Linked DNA regions of Schizosaccharomyces pombe. The gene in region 2 interacts genetically with the main gene of each other region. Each region holds a gene or a part of one and is shown on either strand. Other genes may lie near its edges. The genes, in order: fml1 and chl1.

What was found.
Region 1: mutations in chl1 (region 2) and fml1 impair growth when combined (synthetic growth defect), as found in Schizosaccharomyces pombe (one study listed by BioGRID).

Annotation. Positions count from the first base shown.
Region 1 is NC_003424.3:1,465,154-1,476,926, forward strand, and holds fml1 (ATP-dependent 3' to 5' DNA helicase), read left to right. Parts: upstream 1-5,680; 5' UTR 5,681-5,906; coding exon 5,907-7,355; intron 7,356-7,400; coding exon 7,401-8,230; exon of another isoform or gene 8,231-8,286; coding exon 8,287-8,512; 3' UTR 8,513-8,538; coding exon of another isoform or gene 8,539-8,732; 3' UTR 8,733-8,785; coding exon of another isoform or gene 8,786-8,952; 3' UTR 8,953-8,999; coding exon of another isoform or gene 9,000-9,059; 3' UTR 9,060-9,110; coding exon of another isoform or gene 9,111-9,188; 3' UTR 9,189-9,227; coding exon of another isoform or gene 9,228-9,251; 3' UTR 9,252-9,306; coding exon of another isoform or gene 9,307-9,386; 3' UTR 9,387-9,755; coding exon of another isoform or gene 9,756-9,896; 3' UTR 9,897-9,946; coding exon of another isoform or gene 9,947-10,746; 3' UTR 10,747-10,794; coding exon of another isoform or gene 10,795-10,954; 3' UTR 10,955-11,122; downstream 11,123-11,773. Other genes in the region: U5 snRNP complex subunit Brr2, read right to left, coding at 1-106; Tf2-1 (retrotransposable element/transposon Tf2-type), read left to right, coding at 694-4,695; SPOM_SPAC9.06C (5'-methylthioribulose-1-phosphate dehydratase), read right to left, coding at 8,539-8,732, 8,786-8,952, 9,000-9,059, 9,111-9,188, 9,228-9,251, 9,307-9,386; SPOM_SPAC9.07C (GTPase Rbg1), read right to left, coding at 9,756-9,896, 9,947-10,746, 10,795-10,954. UniProt on the Schizosaccharomyces pombe protein: ATP-dependent DNA helicase involved in DNA damage repair by homologous recombination and in genome maintenance. Capable of unwinding D-loops. Plays a role in limiting crossover recombination during mitotic DNA double-strand break (DSB) repair.
Region 2 is NC_003424.3:5,396,950-5,403,134, forward strand, and holds chl1 (ATP-dependent DNA helicase Chl1), read left to right. Parts: upstream 1-1,795; 5' UTR 1,796-2,164; coding exon 2,165-2,803; intron 2,804-2,868; coding exon 2,869-3,061; intron 3,062-3,120; coding exon 3,121-4,823; 3' UTR 4,824-5,154; coding exon of another isoform or gene 5,155-5,161; 3' UTR 5,162-5,213; coding exon of another isoform or gene 5,214-5,284; 3' UTR 5,285-5,461; downstream 5,462-6,185. Other genes in the region: trehalose-phosphate synthase Tps2, read right to left, coding at 1-246; GARP complex subunit Vps51, read right to left, coding at 651-1,130; rpl4101 (60S ribosomal protein L41), read right to left, coding at 5,155-5,161, 5,214-5,284. UniProt on the Schizosaccharomyces pombe protein: ATP-dependent DNA helicase important for chromosome transmission and normal cell cycle progression in G(2)/M.

The DNA.
Region 1 (11,773 bases), 3.9 Mb from region 2:
ACATTGCAGAATAACTATACTGTGATTGACCATAGTTTGGCTTCTCCTTACTATTTCCATGTTTGGGAGGCTCTTTCGAGTCCCCTTTAGGATGTGCACTCGACATGATTGTGAGTGGCGGAGGATAAACTGAATTTTCAATTTTCGTCTACTTCGAGGTATTAGAAGTGTTCATTTCTGTCAGCAATACTACACTACGCTATAATACACTACGTTGAGTATCACTATATGTCACATGTTCTAATTATATATCGTACCATGTATGATACGATATGGAGATTGATCTTAATGATAATCTATTAAGATCAATATTATCTGAATACTATAAATAGAGCTACTGCTGAACCTCGTTCCTCAGTTCAGTTATGAGCTATATTAGTGATAGGTAACATTATAACCCAGTTAATACAATACCTATACTCAGTTGCTACTTATACAACCTGTGTATTGTAATATAATAGATCACAAGGAAAGCTCACCGCAGTTCTACGTATCCTTAAATCAGATACCAAACTGCGTAGCTTACAATAACTGAACTCTTGTGATCTACAATTAACTCCTTTTAGGAAAAAGGAATTATTGAATAAATATATATCATAAATATATATATTTCTCTCCTTCTGGGTTCAAAGGAGAAAGAACTTTGGAAGGACTGTTATCCCTTTTGAAATCTCCCAAAGGGAAACATATACAATGTCCTACGCAAATTATCGTTATATGAAAGCAAGAGCAAAACGATGGAGACCAGAGAATTTGGATGGAATTCAAACATCAGACGAACATTTAATAAACCTTTTTGCAAAAATATTATCGAAGCATGTACCAGAGATAGGGAAATTCGATCCTAATAAGGATGTTGAAAGTTACATTTCAAAACTTGATCAACACTTTACTGAATACCCTTCATTATTCCCAAATGAGCATACTAAAAGACAGTATACATTGAATCACCTAGAAGAATTAGAGCAACAATTCGCTGAACGCATGTTTTCTGAGAATGGAAGTCTTACATGGCAAGAATTACTCAGACAAACAGGGAAAGTACAAGGATCCAACAAAGGTGATCGTTTAACTAAAACATTTGAAGGTTTTAGAAATCAATTGGACAAAGTTCAATTTATAAGGAAACTCATGTCAAAAGCAAATGTTGATGATTTCCATACTCGCTTGTTTATATTATGGATGCTGCCATATTCCTTAAGGAAATTAAAGGAAAGAAATTACTGGAAATCAGAAATCAGTGAAATTTATGACTTTTTAGAGGACAAAAGAACAGCCTCGTATGGTAAAACTCACAAGCGTTTTCAACTGCAAAATAAAAATCTAGGAAAAGAGTCCCTTTCAAAGAAAAATAACACCACTAATAGCAGAAACCTGAGGAAGACAAATGTTTCGAGAATAGAATACTCATCTAACAAATTCCTAAATCATACTAGGAAACGTTACGAAATGGTATTACAAGCTGAACTTCCAGACTTCAAGTGCTCAATACCCTGTCTAATCGATACGGGCGCTCAAGCAAATATTATAACAGAAGAAACTGTTCGAGCACATAAACTGCCTACCAGACCCTGGTCAAAAAGTGTGATATATGGTGGAGTTTATCCAAATAAGATTAATCGCAAAACAATAAAACTTAACATAAGTCTAAATGGAATATCAATCAAAACAGAATTCTTGGTTGTAAAGAAATTTTCGCATCCAGCTGCTATCTCCTTCACAACATTATATGACAATAACATTGAAATATCTAGCAGTAAACACACGCTCTCTCAAATGAACAAAGTTTCAAATATTGTCAAGGAACCTGAGTTACCAGATATCTATAAAGAATTCAAAGACATTACTGCAGAAACCAATACGGAAAAGCTACCAAAGCCAATAAAAGGGTTAGAATTTGAAGTTGAACTAACTCAAGAAAACTACAGATTACCTATCAGAAATTACCCGCTACCACCGGGAAAAATGCAAGCTATGAATGATGAAATTAATCAAGGATTAAAAAGTGGAATTATACGAGAATCTAAAGCCATTAACGCCTGTCCAGTAATGTTCGTTCCGAAAAAGGAAGGCACCTTGAGAATGGTGGTTGACTACAAACCTTTAAATAAGTATGTCAAACCCAATATATATCCGTTACCACTTATTGAACAATTACTTGCTAAAATACAAGGTTCTACAATTTTTACTAAACTTGACCTCAAAAGTGCCTATCACTTGATACGAGTAAGAAAAGGAGATGAACATAAACTTGCTTTTCGCTGTCCTCGTGGAGTTTTTGAATATCTAGTAATGCCTTATGGCATATCTACAGCTCCAGCACATTTTCAATACTTTATCAATACAATACTTGGTGAAGCCAAAGAATCACATGTAGTATGTTATATGGATGATATTTTAATTCATTCAAAATCGGAATCTGAACATGTAAAACATGTTAAAGACGTTCTACAGAAATTGAAAAATGCGAACTTAATTATCAATCAAGCAAAATGTGAATTTCACCAATCACAAGTAAAATTTATAGGGTATCACATTTCGGAAAAAGGATTTACGCCTTGTCAAGAAAATATAGACAAAGTCTTACAATGGAAGCAACCTAAGAATCGTAAAGAATTACGACAATTTCTAGGTTCTGTCAATTATCTTAGGAAATTCATTCCAAAGACATCACAATTAACACATCCACTCAATAATCTTTTGAAAAAGGATGTACGCTGGAAATGGACACCAACACAAACCCAAGCGATAGAAAACATTAAACAATGTTTAGTTTCTCCTCCGGTGCTACGACACTTTGATTTCAGTAAAAAGATTCTACTGGAAACTGATGCTTCAGATGTCGCTGTAGGAGCCGTATTGTCTCAAAAACATGATGATGATAAATACTATCCTGTTGGATACTATTCAGCAAAGATGTCTAAAGCACAATTAAATTATAGCGTATCGGACAAAGAAATGCTTGCAATCATTAAGTCTCTCAAACATTGGAGACACTATTTAGAATCCACTATCGAACCTTTCAAAATTTTAACAGACCATCGAAACTTAATTGGTCGCATTACTAACGAATCCGAGCCTGAAAACAAACGTTTAGCTCGTTGGCAATTATTTTTACAAGACTTCAACTTTGAAATTAACTACAGACCTGGATCAGCAAATCACATAGCTGATGCCTTATCCAGAATTGTTGACGAAACAGAACCAATTCCAAAAGATTCAGAAGACAATAGTATCAACTTTGTTAATCAAATCTCGATAACCGATGATTTTAAAAACCAAGTGGTTACAGAATATACGAATGATACAAAATTGTTGAATTTACTAAACAATGAAGACAAACGAGTGGAAGAGAATATCCAACTCAAAGATGGCTTACTAATTAACAGTAAAGACCAAATCTTATTACCTAATGATACTCAGCTGACTAGGACAATTATTAAAAAGTATCATGAAGAAGGTAAATTGATTCATCCAGGCATTGAACTTCTTACAAACATTATATTACGTAGATTTACGTGGAAAGGAATAAGAAAACAAATACAAGAATATGTACAGAACTGCCATACATGTCAAATAAACAAATCTAGGAATCATAAACCTTATGGACCTTTACAACCAATTCCCCCATCAGAAAGACCTTGGGAATCTTTATCAATGGATTTTATTACAGCTTTACCAGAATCATCTGGTTATAATGCACTTTTCGTGGTAGTTGACCGATTTTCAAAAATGGCAATCTTAGTACCTTGTACGAAATCCATTACAGCAGAGCAAACAGCTCGAATGTTTGATCAACGAGTTATTGCTTATTTCGGCAATCCAAAAGAAATCATTGCAGATAATGATCATATTTTTACTTCCCAAACGTGGAAAGATTTCGCACATAAATATAATTTCGTTATGAAATTTTCGTTACCATACAGACCACAAACTGATGGACAAACTGAGCGTACAAACCAAACTGTGGAGAAATTACTAAGATGTGTATGTAGCACACATCCAAATACATGGGTAGATCATATATCCCTAGTGCAACAATCTTACAACAATGCGATACATTCAGCAACTCAAATGACACCTTTTGAGATAGTACATCGCTATTCACCAGCTTTATCACCTTTAGAGTTACCTAGCTTTAGTGACAAAACTGACGAAAACTCTCAGGAAACGATCCAAGTATTTCAAACAGTTAAAGAACACTTGAATACAAACAACATAAAGATGAAAAAGTATTTCGATATGAAAATACAAGAAATTGAAGAATTTCAACCTGGAGACCTAGTTATGGTCAAAAGAACGAAAACAGGTTTTCTTCATAAATCCAATAAATTAGCACCTAGTTTTGCAGGACCGTTCTATGTGTTACAGAAGTCGGGTCCAAACAACTATGAATTGGATCTTCCAGATTCAATCAAGCACATGTTTTCATCTACTTTTCATGTTTCTCACCTAGAAAAGTATCGACATAATTCAGAACTCAATTACGCTACCATTGATGAGTCTGATATTGGAACAATTCTTCATATCCTAGAACATAAAAACAGAGAACAAGTACTCTACTTAAATGTCAAGTACATTTCGAATCTAAATCCGAGTACTATTATGTCAGGATGGACTACATTAGCTACAGCGCTACAAGCGGACAAAGCAATTGTCAATGATTATATTAAAAACAATAATCTAAATATCTGAGAACATATGACTTATCCTCAGATTTACATAGAAAATCTTGGGGAGGGCAATGTCAGCAATACTACACTACGCTATAATACACTACGTTGAGTATCACTATATGTCACATGTTCTAATTATATATCGTACCATGTATGATACGATATGGAGATTGATCTTAATGATAATCTATTAAGATCAATATTATCTGAATACTATAAATAGAGCTACTGCTGAACCTCGTTCCTCAGTTCAGTTATGAGCTATATTAGTGATAGGTAACATTATAACCCAGTTAATACAATACCTATACTCAGTTGCTACTTATACAACCTGTGTATTGTAATATAATAGATCACAAGGAAAACTCACCGCAGTTCTACGTATCCTTAAATCAGATACCAAACTGCGTAGCTTACAATTTCATAGAAGTATGACCTTTGAACAAAATCACTATTTCACTTAATGCAGTGCTTAAATTCTTTAATTTATACTTAGTGAATCAGTAAATTTAAAATACGTTAAATGGCTTTATGGAATTTCCAAAGGAACTCTTCGAAGAGGAAATTTCAAATTATGTGATAGATTAAAGATTATGGCTATTATTCGATAAATGAGTGTTTTTTTACTCACTTGATGTGTGATATGTTACCACAAACAAAGTCCAATTTTGAAGGTACAAACATCAGAAAGTCCTGAATTCTAGCAACATTAGTCTATGTACGGACACTTTTCAACTCGTTTTACTTCATCTAGCTAATCATTTTCTTTAATCTAAGAGCCATTACATGTCTTTCTGATAGGATTTGTTCGGCTATGCTTGTTATTTGTTTATCGTATAGAGAGCGACTTATAGTGAATATATACAAAAACCATTATGATGATATACGAATTCTATATCGGTTATTAGGTGCTTCCCTAATACAATACTACACCCGCGCAATAATTCGTTATAACAAATCGTTACTGAAAAGACATGGAATATACACATTGGCAATGTAATTTTAAACATAATTAACTTCATTACTTTCTCATGAAGTTAATTGTATCTTAAACCATTTGAGGGAAAAAACTTGTCCTTTACAATTACTTCCGACAATAAAGGACGCTTTGCAGTGAATGTCTTATGGAATTGTTGTATTTGACGACTGACGAAACGAAGTACCTTAGCAAAATTCGTTTTTAAGTAATTCCAGCTAAATTTTTGCTAACAATATAAATCATTGATAAGGATGTCCGATGATTCTTTTAGTAGTGATGAAGACTGGGACGAATTGGACACCCAAGTAGTTGATAAAATTGAGAATGAATATCATAATAACACGATAGGTTTAAATGGATACTCAGTTGATGAATATTTTGATGCCAACGATTCCAATAGATATCGTCTACAACACGAGTTAGATGAAAGTGCAGCACAGCAATGGGTATACCCTATAAACGTCTCCTTTCGAGATTATCAGTTTAATATTGTCCAAAAAGCTTTATTTGAAAATGTACTTGTAGCTTTGCCAACAGGTTTAGGTAAAACATTTATTGCAGCCGTTGTGATGATGAATTATCTTCGTTGGTTTCCAAAAAGTTACATTGTTTTCATGGCTCCTACTAAACCATTGGTTACACAACAAATGGAAGCTTGCTATAAAATCACTGGAATTCCAAAGAGTCAAACTGCTGAATTAAGTGGACACGTTCCTGTTACAACTCGAAATCAGTATTATCAAAGTCGAAATGTTTTCTTCGTAACTCCTCAAACCATTTTAAACGACATCAAGCATGGAATTTGCGATCGGACTCGTATATCTTGTTTAGTAATTGATGAAGCACATCGTAGTACTGGAAATTACGCTTATGTGGAAGTTGTTCATCTACTTTCTCTTAGCAACAAAAATTTCCGTATACTGGCTCTTAGTGCTACCCCCGGAAATAAGTTAGAAGCAATTCAGAATGTAATTGATTCTCTTCATATATCCAGGATTGAGATTAGAACTGAAAACAGCATTGATATATCGCAATACGTTCAGAAGAAAGAGGTGGATTTTTTTCCTGTAGATTTGTCTGCAGAGATTACAGATATAAGAGATCGATTTTCTTCTATATTGGAACCTATGCTTCAAAAATTGAACAAGGGTAATTATTATCGAATTCAGAATGCTAAAGACATAACTTCTTTCACTGTGGTTCAAGCTAAACAAGCTTTTCTTGCAATGTCTGGTCAAAACTTTCCTGCTAATCAAAAATGGGATATTTTAAATACTTTTGATGCATTAGCGACTTTTGCCTATCCTTTAAATTTGTTACTCAACCATGGTATCCGACCGTTTTATCAAAAATTGCGAGAGGTAGAAGAAGAATGCTTTGTAGGAAGATCAGGTTATAAGAAACGCATAATAAATCACGAAAATTATCGTCCTTTAATGGACGATATAGAAATTTTGTTGCGAGATCAGTCTTTTGTCGGACATCCCAAACTAGAGCATTTGGAACGTATTGTTACAGAATATTTTGAAAAAGAACAAACCAAGGATACCAGAATTATGATTTTTGTTGAAATCCGCTCTAGCGCCGAAGAGATTTTACGATTTTTGGGTAAATTTTATCCAAATGTGAGACCAGCTATTTTTATTGGACAATCTGCTGTGAGAAAGGCTGCTGGAATGTCTCAAAAATTACAGAATGAAGTATGTAATCTGAAAATGATGGATCCTTAACTAACTAATCTCTAGACTGTGAAACAATTTCAAAAAGGTGAAGTCAATACTTTAATAGCTACCTCTATTGGAGAAGAGGGTTTGGACATAGGTGAAGTAGACATGATCATATGTTACGATGCATCTGCTTCTCCTATAAGGATGTTACAAAGAATGGGCAGAACTGGGAGAAAAAGGAAAGGTTATATTTATATGCTTTTGACGCGAGGCAAAGAAGAAGCAAAATGGGAGAGAGCCAAAGACGCTTATCGAACTTTGCAAGATAATATTGTCAGTGGTCGCGGTCTCAGCCTATCGGAAAAAAGTTATAGAATTTTACCAGAAAAGTTTCGCCCGGTTTGTGATAAACGAGTCATAGAAATTCCCAAAGAAAATGAAGAAGTTGTAGTAGCTCCAAAGAAAGTGCAATTGAGAACGAAAATAAAAAAGAAATTTTTCATGCCAGAAAATGCCTTGAATGGATTTATTACTGCGTCCGCTTTAGGTAAACCGAAACGTGCTTTAGCCAAGTCTGAAGAATCACCGTTCGAGATATGTCCCGTTACATATAGCATTGAACAAGAAAAGAAACTGGAAAAATATAAGCGTGTTTGCTTAAGAGGTTTGGATATTCATAGAAATAGGAGGTTATCTCAATTGAGTGTTACAGGACGGATACCGCATTCTCTAGCTACGAAAAGTATACATTCATTTTTAAAGCATTTAAATACTATAGATTCGCAAAAGGCTCAGGAGTGGAGAAGAGAAATAAACAACCAATTCCAAGTATCAAATATCAACTCGACGGATCGTGACACAAAACAGCCAAAGATGCATGACTTTAGACAACCTTTACACCCAAATCCGTAAGTGTTTAAACTATTGAGTTGTTTAACGATAATTACAGATTATTAACATACAGGATGACAACTTTGAAAAGGAAAGGACAACATAATTCATTTTCTTACGACAAGTCTACACTGTTTTATGACAACAACAATAATTTAGAGGAAGACCTCCCGGATGTAAATATTTCTATATCTTCAAGGAATGAAGAAGCATCCAAGACAAAACCATTTGACGACCGACAACAACGCCTTCAGCAACTCGTAGAGAAAAGGAAACGTATGAAAGGAATGCTGATTTAGAGAATTAAATAGTGTTTAGAAATAGCCTACAACGTTTTCAATTTGTAGTCTAACTCAAAAAGATATTCGTAGCATTCCATTTGAGTTTTTGATTTTTCCCATGTTGCTCCCCAACCGATAACCCCATGTCCACGAATAAGAACAGCACATGTTTGTGGATAAAGCTCGATGACTTTTTTTAGTTCATCTAATATTGTTTTACTATCGCCATTGTGGATAACTACATAATCAGTATTCAGATACCAGTCAACACCAACAGAAAACACAACTTACTAGGAACCTCTAGAGTATCAAAACAGCAAAGATAGCCTGCTGAAGGATTTCCCTTTGGAATTCCTTTGATCATTTCCTTAGATTGTGTAGTAAATTTCTCATTATACATCGATGCTCCGACTGCAGCGACTGAAGTAGAATATATACAGGCTACTGCATCCATATTACTTTTGATGTGTTAAAAATTGCTGTAAATAGAAAAAATGATGCATACCTCAAAACCCATGAGAAAATGTAGGCCCAATTGACTAAATCCTTGGTGACTGACTGATTGCTGTATAAAAGGTTAGATACTAATTGGAGCTGATCCAAATGAATAATTTACCTTAAATTAAAGGTCACGATATCGTTTTCCGTTATGAAGTCTCTTTGAACCCTGTCCTTAACGCAAATTGCATAACCACTAAATGTTAACAAAATCGTTTGAATACCGTACAATTACTTGTTCTTTAGACAAAAGTTTCCACTAAATACCAATTAGCTTTAAAAAATTACTGAACATTAAACGTCTTGAACGCTACCTGCCAAATTTCATCCATCCAAGACTGTAAAAATGAGGAATAAGTTCAAGAATCAAATTTTTCTCTAATTGGAGACTCATTCTTCTAAAATTTTCAACTTTAACCTTTAAAAGTTCCCGTACTATACTCAGAAATGATTTATTTAATGATCGGTTCTTTCAGCAAAGTGAGTAGCGTTTCATAAGTTGCGTTTGCAAATTTGATATTAAAAAGTAATTGAAGGAAGACATATGTCACAAAACACTCTACACAATCATTCATTAAGCTTATAATACACGAAAACTTTTACTTTAAAGAAAAAACAATTTGAACAAATAACGAAATAAATTACCATCTAAAATTTTAAGTCATTGTAACCCACCTATTAGAGTAACCAGTTAAATAAGTTTTCAGGCCTATATATTCCAATACTGGGAAACCAAGGAAAGTAAGATGTTAGGAAAAAAGACTTATTTTTTGACAATCGTCACTACATCCTCATCCAACAGTACATGAGATAAACCAACACGCATGCCAGGATAAGGAACGCTTTTTCCCCAAACATAAGCATGTTTAAACTGGGATTTGATACTTGAATGAATATTGTTACACTAAAGAAGTTAGCAACACGAAGATCGGCAGAAGCAATTCGAAAACTTACAAAATCCTCGACAGTAGAATGGCCAGTACGAAGGATAACAGGTTCGCTGTAATCAGGTTCAAGACCTCTAGGGCGTGTATAGACTCTAACCAAATTCAAATAGTCCCACATCGTTTCTTTAAGTTCGTCAATGTTCCAACCCCTGTTACCACAAATGGGTACGGCGTTAGGAATACGATCAATCAAATCAAGTTCTTCAATAGAAATTGAATCAATTTTATTTAACACGTAAAGTGCCGGGATATAAACGCGATTTCCTTCCAAGACATCAATCAAATCATCAATGGTGGCATCACAACGAAAAGCAATGTCAGCAGAGTTAACACGATATTCGCTGCAAACAGCACGAATTTCGTCCAAATCAATATGAGTCAAGGGGACAGTATTGGTGATATTGATACCACCACGTTCTTTCTTTTTGAATACAATGTTGGGGGGTTCCTTATTTAATCTTATACCAAATCCTTCCAATTCCTCTTCAATAATACGCTTATGAGACATTGGTTTCAATACATCCAAAACAATAAATATAAGGTTGCAAGTACGTGCAACAGTAATAACTTGTTTACCACGACCACGACCATCTTTGGCACCCTCGATAATACCAGGCAAATCCAAAATTTGAATTTTTGCACCATTGTATTGCAAAACACCCGGAACCGTTGTTAAAGTTGTAAATTCATATGCAGCGGCTTCACTTCTCGTTCCTGTAAGCTGAGTCATGAGTGTACTTTTACCGACGGAGGGAAATCCAATGAAACCTACAGTACCAATACCGGTACGAGCAACATCGAAACCAACTAAGAAAGATTAGTACTCCAAACAAAAATTTGACGTTCAGTACATACGCCCTCCACCACCTCCTCCACCGGTAGGGGTGATCAATTCACGTTTCAATTTTGCAAGCTTGGCCTTTAACATTCCCAAGTGCTTAGCCGTAGCTTTATTTTTTTGGGTTTTGGCCATTTCATCTTCAACTTCTTTTATTTTTTGCGCCGTAGTCGCCATTTTGTTTTTTTATTATATATGAAAATGCTATGAAAATGGTGAAAAGAAAATTCTATAACTAAGTACGTATAAGATCTTTTGCATTATTGAGTGCTAAGCAACCCTCTTTATTTTATATTAGTGTATTAAACCACATTACAACAGCCAAACTATTATTAAGATACCAGGTAGAATATCACGTTGGATCTCGATATTTGTTCCTTGTTGTAAGTAAATAAAAAAATATGTGAAATATTGAATCCAGTTATTCAATAGAATTTCATAAATAAATCTTTTTTCTTTTGCGTGTCTTTTTTTATGCGTTAGATCAATATAAAATATGTATGTATATAAAAAGTTGATAATTTTGTTTTGTTTTTCTTACACAATTTTAATGCAAATATTAAATAAATAAGATTGCAAAAAAGTAGTTGCTGATTGCGCAAAAGCTTGGATTAACAGTATTTTTTGATAAATAAAAAAAGAAATAAATAAATTTAGTATGTTCTAAGTCAACGGCAAATGAATTATTATTCAGGGGTTGAAGATAATGTCAGTTAACAAGGTTAATTATCGGGTCAGGGTAATAATTAAAAATTAAATAAATAAAAAATATCTGCGGCTGTTGCGTATAAACAGTAGACGGATGAGCAATTATCCCCAATAGCCTAAATACAAAATATAAGAACACATAGTAGAAACTACAAAAACATTTTTACCGGCAACAATAACCTCGTTGATATAGTGGTATTGTTGATAACTCAAAAAGCCCCAGCGTTTTGTGCGCGAAAATTATATTAATATTAACGAAAGCGAATATGCTGAATATGTATAAATCTG
Region 2 (6,185 bases):
TGTATGGTCATTTCCTTCCGAAATTTGTACAGGTCCAGGAGAAGCTACGTACACGGCGTCCCAGGGTGAACTAGGATCTCCCAATGAAGCAATTGCTGAGTAAAGGGCAGTGCCACTACTACGATGCTGAAACGTCCATTCGCGAGTATCTTTATTTAAGGCTGCTTTAAATTGAAAATTTCGAGAGACATTAACAATACGTTTATAAGCAGCTGATTGAGTATTTCCTTGCGCGCCTGAAGGCATTTCTAGAGCACTTAACTTCACCGAGGAGAAGTGACGAGAAATATAGAGAATAAAACCAATGAATCACTACAATAAGCTAGCAAAAAACTTTAAATCAATGTCGTTTGCGCTTGTTTAAGCAGATGATTAAACGTATAGAAAGTAGGAGACCGTACTATAAGCTCAATATTACATTGGACAGTGTACCCTAAATGACGGAAAATTCAAATGACCGAGAGAGGTAGTAAGACACCGAATTCACCGATATGAAAATGGAAATTCCCTGCGAATAACGAATATATGATGAATGAACCTTTTTACTAATGAATTATGAATAACTGATAAATGAGATGGTGTTCGTCATTGCCCAAGCTTTTGAAATGATGTGAAGACGCTAACACTGAGATGGTAGAACAAATCTGCGACTATGGCGCTGAAAATTCATTTCCATTAAAAGATTGGGGAGCTGAATACGTATCATTATTTCCATTTTTCCTTGTAGGCTTTGGACATGCCTGATAAGCATCGTTTAATGCAGGTAGAAGTGTATTTAAATTTTTACAAAAAGAGTTAATTGCATCACTAGCTTCTAACAAATGCTTATAATGATTATATACCAAAGATCTATGGTCGACAGAAAGCCCTTGAATCGAAGCAACCAAAGATTTATCACGCTGCAATAATTCGGCTGGTGTGGCTTTCTCCATAAATTTAGAAACGTAAGCATTTGAATCGAAATTTGGATCTGAGAACTCTGGATCAACTTTATCTAATGCTGTTTCTTCCACTGGCGAAACGGTATTAGAGCTAGACGGTTTTCGAGTTGTAGAAACAGTTGAAGATGAGCTATTTGAACCAGGTAGATTATAAAAGTCTCTTAAAGCTTGACGGCGTTTACTTGACATATTGTACAATTTACTTAACGACAGTGCTTAATAAATAATGAAATAAATGTATCTACAAGGCCAGCAACGAACAAAATACTGTTGCCGACAGAAAATGCTCTAGTGATAGAAATGAGTGAATAACGTACTCCTGTACATCTTTATATCATATATCGATGCTTCGAATATTTCTTTAAAACATTCTATTGCTTTGTTTCATATTGATAGTTTGATTAAAAAGTTTCGATACTTTTATTGCTGATCTGGTAGCAAAATCTCAACGCATTTTAAAAATGCATTTTCGCGGTATTGCGATTCTTTGGTAGATGACAAAAACAAGACTAACGATTGCACGCGTTAGAAAATTACATAACCATACTTCAGCTTCTTTTTCCATAGTTATTTCCATTAGTTATGATAATATTCGATAATACAGAGAGCGTCAAGCATATATATATTATTTAACCTTTGAGCGTTTGCTGTTCTTCTAAACTGAATTGTAGGCTTAGTGTTGAAAGAGAATTTAGCACTTTTAACAAAATCTCATTCTTTCTGTTAAACTAGAAATGCATATTTAATTTTCTTAAATTTAGTTTCCTCCCCTTAAAAGTAGTTGAATATTTGATTTAAATTTGCAAATATATTTTAACTTCAGTATACACTGAAACAGTTTTTTAACATACAGTAAACTTGCCTAACCTCGTGCAAAGCGGTTTCTTCTGTTCATTTTAACATTTTGTTGAAAAGTCTTCTTGTTATATAAATAGACAGTTTGACGGATGGAGTTTATGCAACAGTACTTCCTTCTTCAGAAACCAGCTTGCATATGATTTGGTAAATTCAATTAGTATCATCGCTACTCTCTTTTGTTGTACTGAAAAATCTAAGCTCAAACATACGCTTTCCCGTGTTTATAAGGTGTTATTTTATGCTTTATTAACTATTTTACAAGGGAACCTTACATTTGGCTCTGTAATGTGCAATTACTGTTATCAAAACTCGAAATAGTATACGAAAGATTTCCAGGTTTCTGAAAAGGTTGTTTTACCTTTAAAATGTGTCATTCGAAAGAAGTAAAATTTAAAACCAATTTTCATCACCCGTATACCCCATACGATATCCAACTAGAGTTCATGCGCAGTTTGTACTCTTCCATCAGCGATGGAAAGATTGGGATTTTTGAATCACCAACTGGAACGGGAAAAAGTTTGAGTTTAATCTGTGCTTCACTTACTTGGCTAGACGAACATGGAGGTGTTTTACTTGAGGATAATGAAAAATCTAATGACAATAAATCTAACACATCCTCAAAAATTCCAGATTGGGTTCTAGAGCAAGACTTGAAAATACAAAAGGATCTAGTAAAAGAAACACATGCACGGCTTGAACAGCGCCTTGAAGAAATTCGAAAGAGGAACCAAAGTCGCAAAAATCAAATGAGCAATAATTCAACTACATACCACAGGGAAACAAAAAGGAGGAACATAAACGCAGAAGCCTCAACCTCAGACAATTGTAATAATTCTAATACTTCGGTTGATCCGATGGACGAATATCTAGTTACAGCAGAATATACGATGCCATCGACTTCTGAACAATCTGAAGATTTATTTAATAACGGTTACAGTTCCAAAGTCTCTGAACTATTGCGAAAATTAAGTCCCGATAATGAAAAACCACCTATAGTTCAAAAGGTACGAATTTAGGTGCTTATAAGGAATATTCATTTAGTGGTAATATTTTTCTAACCTACTGCTAGATATATTTTACTTCTCGAACCCACTCTCAATTGCAACAGCTTGTTCAGGAAATTAAAAAGCTCAATAATCAAACCTTCTCAACGCCAATACGAGTAGTTTCTTTGGCTTCTCGTAAGAATCTTTGTATTAATAATGAAGTCCGGAAACTTCGACCAACGTCTGCTTTAAATGAAAAATGCATTGAGCTTCAAGGTACTTTAACAACTTCACTAGATTGAAAATTCAGTTTAATATTAACTTTTACATTTTAGGATCAGCTCACAAGTGTCCCTTTTTACAAGACAACACTCAATTATGGGACTTCCGGGATGAAGCACTTGCTGAAATAATGGATATTGAAGAACTCGTAGAATTGGGCCAGCGTTTAAAGGTCTGCCCTTATTACGGAACGAGGGAAGCAGTGGATTCAGCTCAAATTGTGACCCTACCTTATCCTTTATTGCTACAAGAATCAGCACGAAATGCGCTTAATTTGACTCTTAAAGACAATATATGTATAATTGACGAAGCTCATAACTTGATTGATGCAATCTGTTCCATGCATTCTTCTTCCATCTCGTTTAGACAAGTTTGTATTGCTGAAACTCAATTGCAACAATATTTTCTGCGGTTTGAAAAACGTCTGAATGGTAATAATAGAATGCATATAAAGCAATTGATCAAAGTTGTCTATAACCTAAAATCTTTTTTTTTAAATTGTCTAGAAACTAATACGAATTCAAAAGTGATCAATGTCGATTCTTTACTGGTATCAAATGGTGCGGATCAAATTAACTTGCACCATCTGTCTGAATACTTGAATGTTTCAAAACTAGCAAGAAAAGTCGATGGTTATACGAAATATATGCATTCATTGGGGACACAAGAATTGGAGTCTTTGAATGATCTTCGTAGTGAAAGATTTTCAAACGGCAATGGATATGAAGAGGATCCATACACACCGGTCCTAATGCAATTAGAATCTTTCTTACTGAATATCGCCAACCCTGCTCCTGAGGGGAAACTATTTTACGAAAAACAAACGGGGGACAATCCATATTTAAAATATTTGTTACTCGATCCATCCAAACATGTCGAGATATTGACCGAACAATGTCGTTCAGTGAATTTAGCTGGTGGCACCATGTCACCGATTGATGACTTTATAACCCTTTTATTTTCAGATGAACAATCTCGTATACTTCCATTTTCATGTGACCATATAGTTCCTCCTGAAAATATTACAACCATTCTAGTTTCTCAAGGTCCTGCAGGCGTCCCTTTTGAATTTACACATAAAAGAAAAGACGATGAGAATTTATTAAAAGATTTGGGAAGGACTTTTCAGAACTTCATTTCCATTATCCCAGATGGCGTCGTGGTTTTCTTTCCCAGTTTTGCATTTTTGCAGCAAGCTGTAAAAGTATGGGAAATGAATGGAATTACAAATCGTTTAAATGCAAAAAAACCATTATTTATTGAAAGTAAAGATTTTGGCGATAATCCTTTGGATACTTTTGAACACTATAAACAGTCCGTAGATGCAGGCTTGAGTGGAATGTTGTTTAGCGTGATAGGAGGAAGACTTTCAGAAGGAATCAACTTTTCAGATAAACTTGGCCGAGCCGTAATGGTGGTAGGAATGCCGTTCCCTAACTCGCAAGATGTGGAATGGCAAGCCAAGGTCTCATACGTAGAGGAAAAGGCCAAGGAGAAAGGCATAAATGCAAAACAAGCTTCACAGGAATTTTATGAAAATACCTGTATGCGAGCAGTAAATCAAAGTATAGGTCGAGCGATTCGACACCGAGATGATTATGCAAGTATAATTCTTTTGGATTCCAGATATAATCGATCAAGTATACAAAGGAAGTTACCAAACTGGTTAAGCAAAAACATCCATTCTAGCCCTAATTTCGGACCTGCTATACGGCAACTTGCTACTTTTTTCCGGGCTAAAAAGATGTGTGATTAGACATATGGTTTGCGTTACAGCGTCAACATAGGCTTATTTTAGAATTACGCTTCGCATATTGTAAATAGATTACTCTATAATTTTTAGAAAATACACCTCTCTCGTATTTACCGACTACTCAAATCATTACTCGTCAAAGGTATAAAAACAAGATCTATTTTGAACGTCAATTAAGACTGCACTAATGGTGTCGCAAATGAAGGTTGTTTAGGTAGAAAAAAACCAACTTGAGAAAAGTTACGACTTAGAGCAGGAAGAGGCCTCTGCCATGATATCCAAGCGTCACGCTAGGGACCGCTTAATTCAGTCCATCGAGCTGTAGATGATCCGTTTATTTACTAATTCAAAGTTAGAAGTCTGCAGGTCTGAGTAATATAATACAACACTTACGATCTAGCTCTCATCTTTCTTCTTTTACGTTTAAGGCGTCTCACGCGTTTCTTCCTCCACTTATCACGCATTGTGGTTATGGATGACTAGCAGACTAGGCAATATTTCATCTGTATAGCACATTGTGACTGCTCTTTTAAGAACACACAATACGGACGTAACACATTCAAAAGTACAGTCAAGTAACAGAATTACTCTAGTATGTCAAGGAACGAAATGTAAACATACAAAAAGTGGTTAATTACATATTTTATTTCAAATGATCCGTCAACGATAGTAAGTGATTTTTAAGTGCTTCCTTTTGCATATCTTTTTTGAAAGGTTCAGCTCTTCAAAATCAGATTTAATAATAATCCATTTAATGCTATATCATCCATTCATATTATCCTTTAATGACAACATACCTGATGTTGTTGTATACGACTTGCGATCTATTGTCAAACGCTGTGTAAACTTCAAGCATACTACATACTTTAGTTTGTAAACCGTATACAGAACAGGTATATCATAAACATTCTTTAAAGTCTAGTAAGTAGTCTACAGGGAAGGTGAAACGCATTTTTGTGCCATAGAATAGTATAAATTTATTCTTAGACATTGTAATTAGACTGCTATATAAGATACTGAAAGCATCCGGAACAAGTACTGTGTTTTTAAGTCGAACTGTTAAACTCCTTGACAATTTGAGCTACTTTAATCATCTATTAAAAACAAATTTTAAAATGCAACGTTAACCCTTTGGTACTAAAAGATACCATGTAAAAAATGTATAATCCAATAAATTTAAAGGATATGCTAGCAATGTATATGAATACCAATTGTGTATAACAGAATGGATTTAATATCTGTAAAAACTGAATGATACCTTTTTTAAAGTAAGAGATAGAGGTGGCTTTTTCTTTTGCGGCATTTGCCAAGCAAACAACACCACCCCAAATATTTAACGCAATCTCGCTCCACTGCACAAAGCAT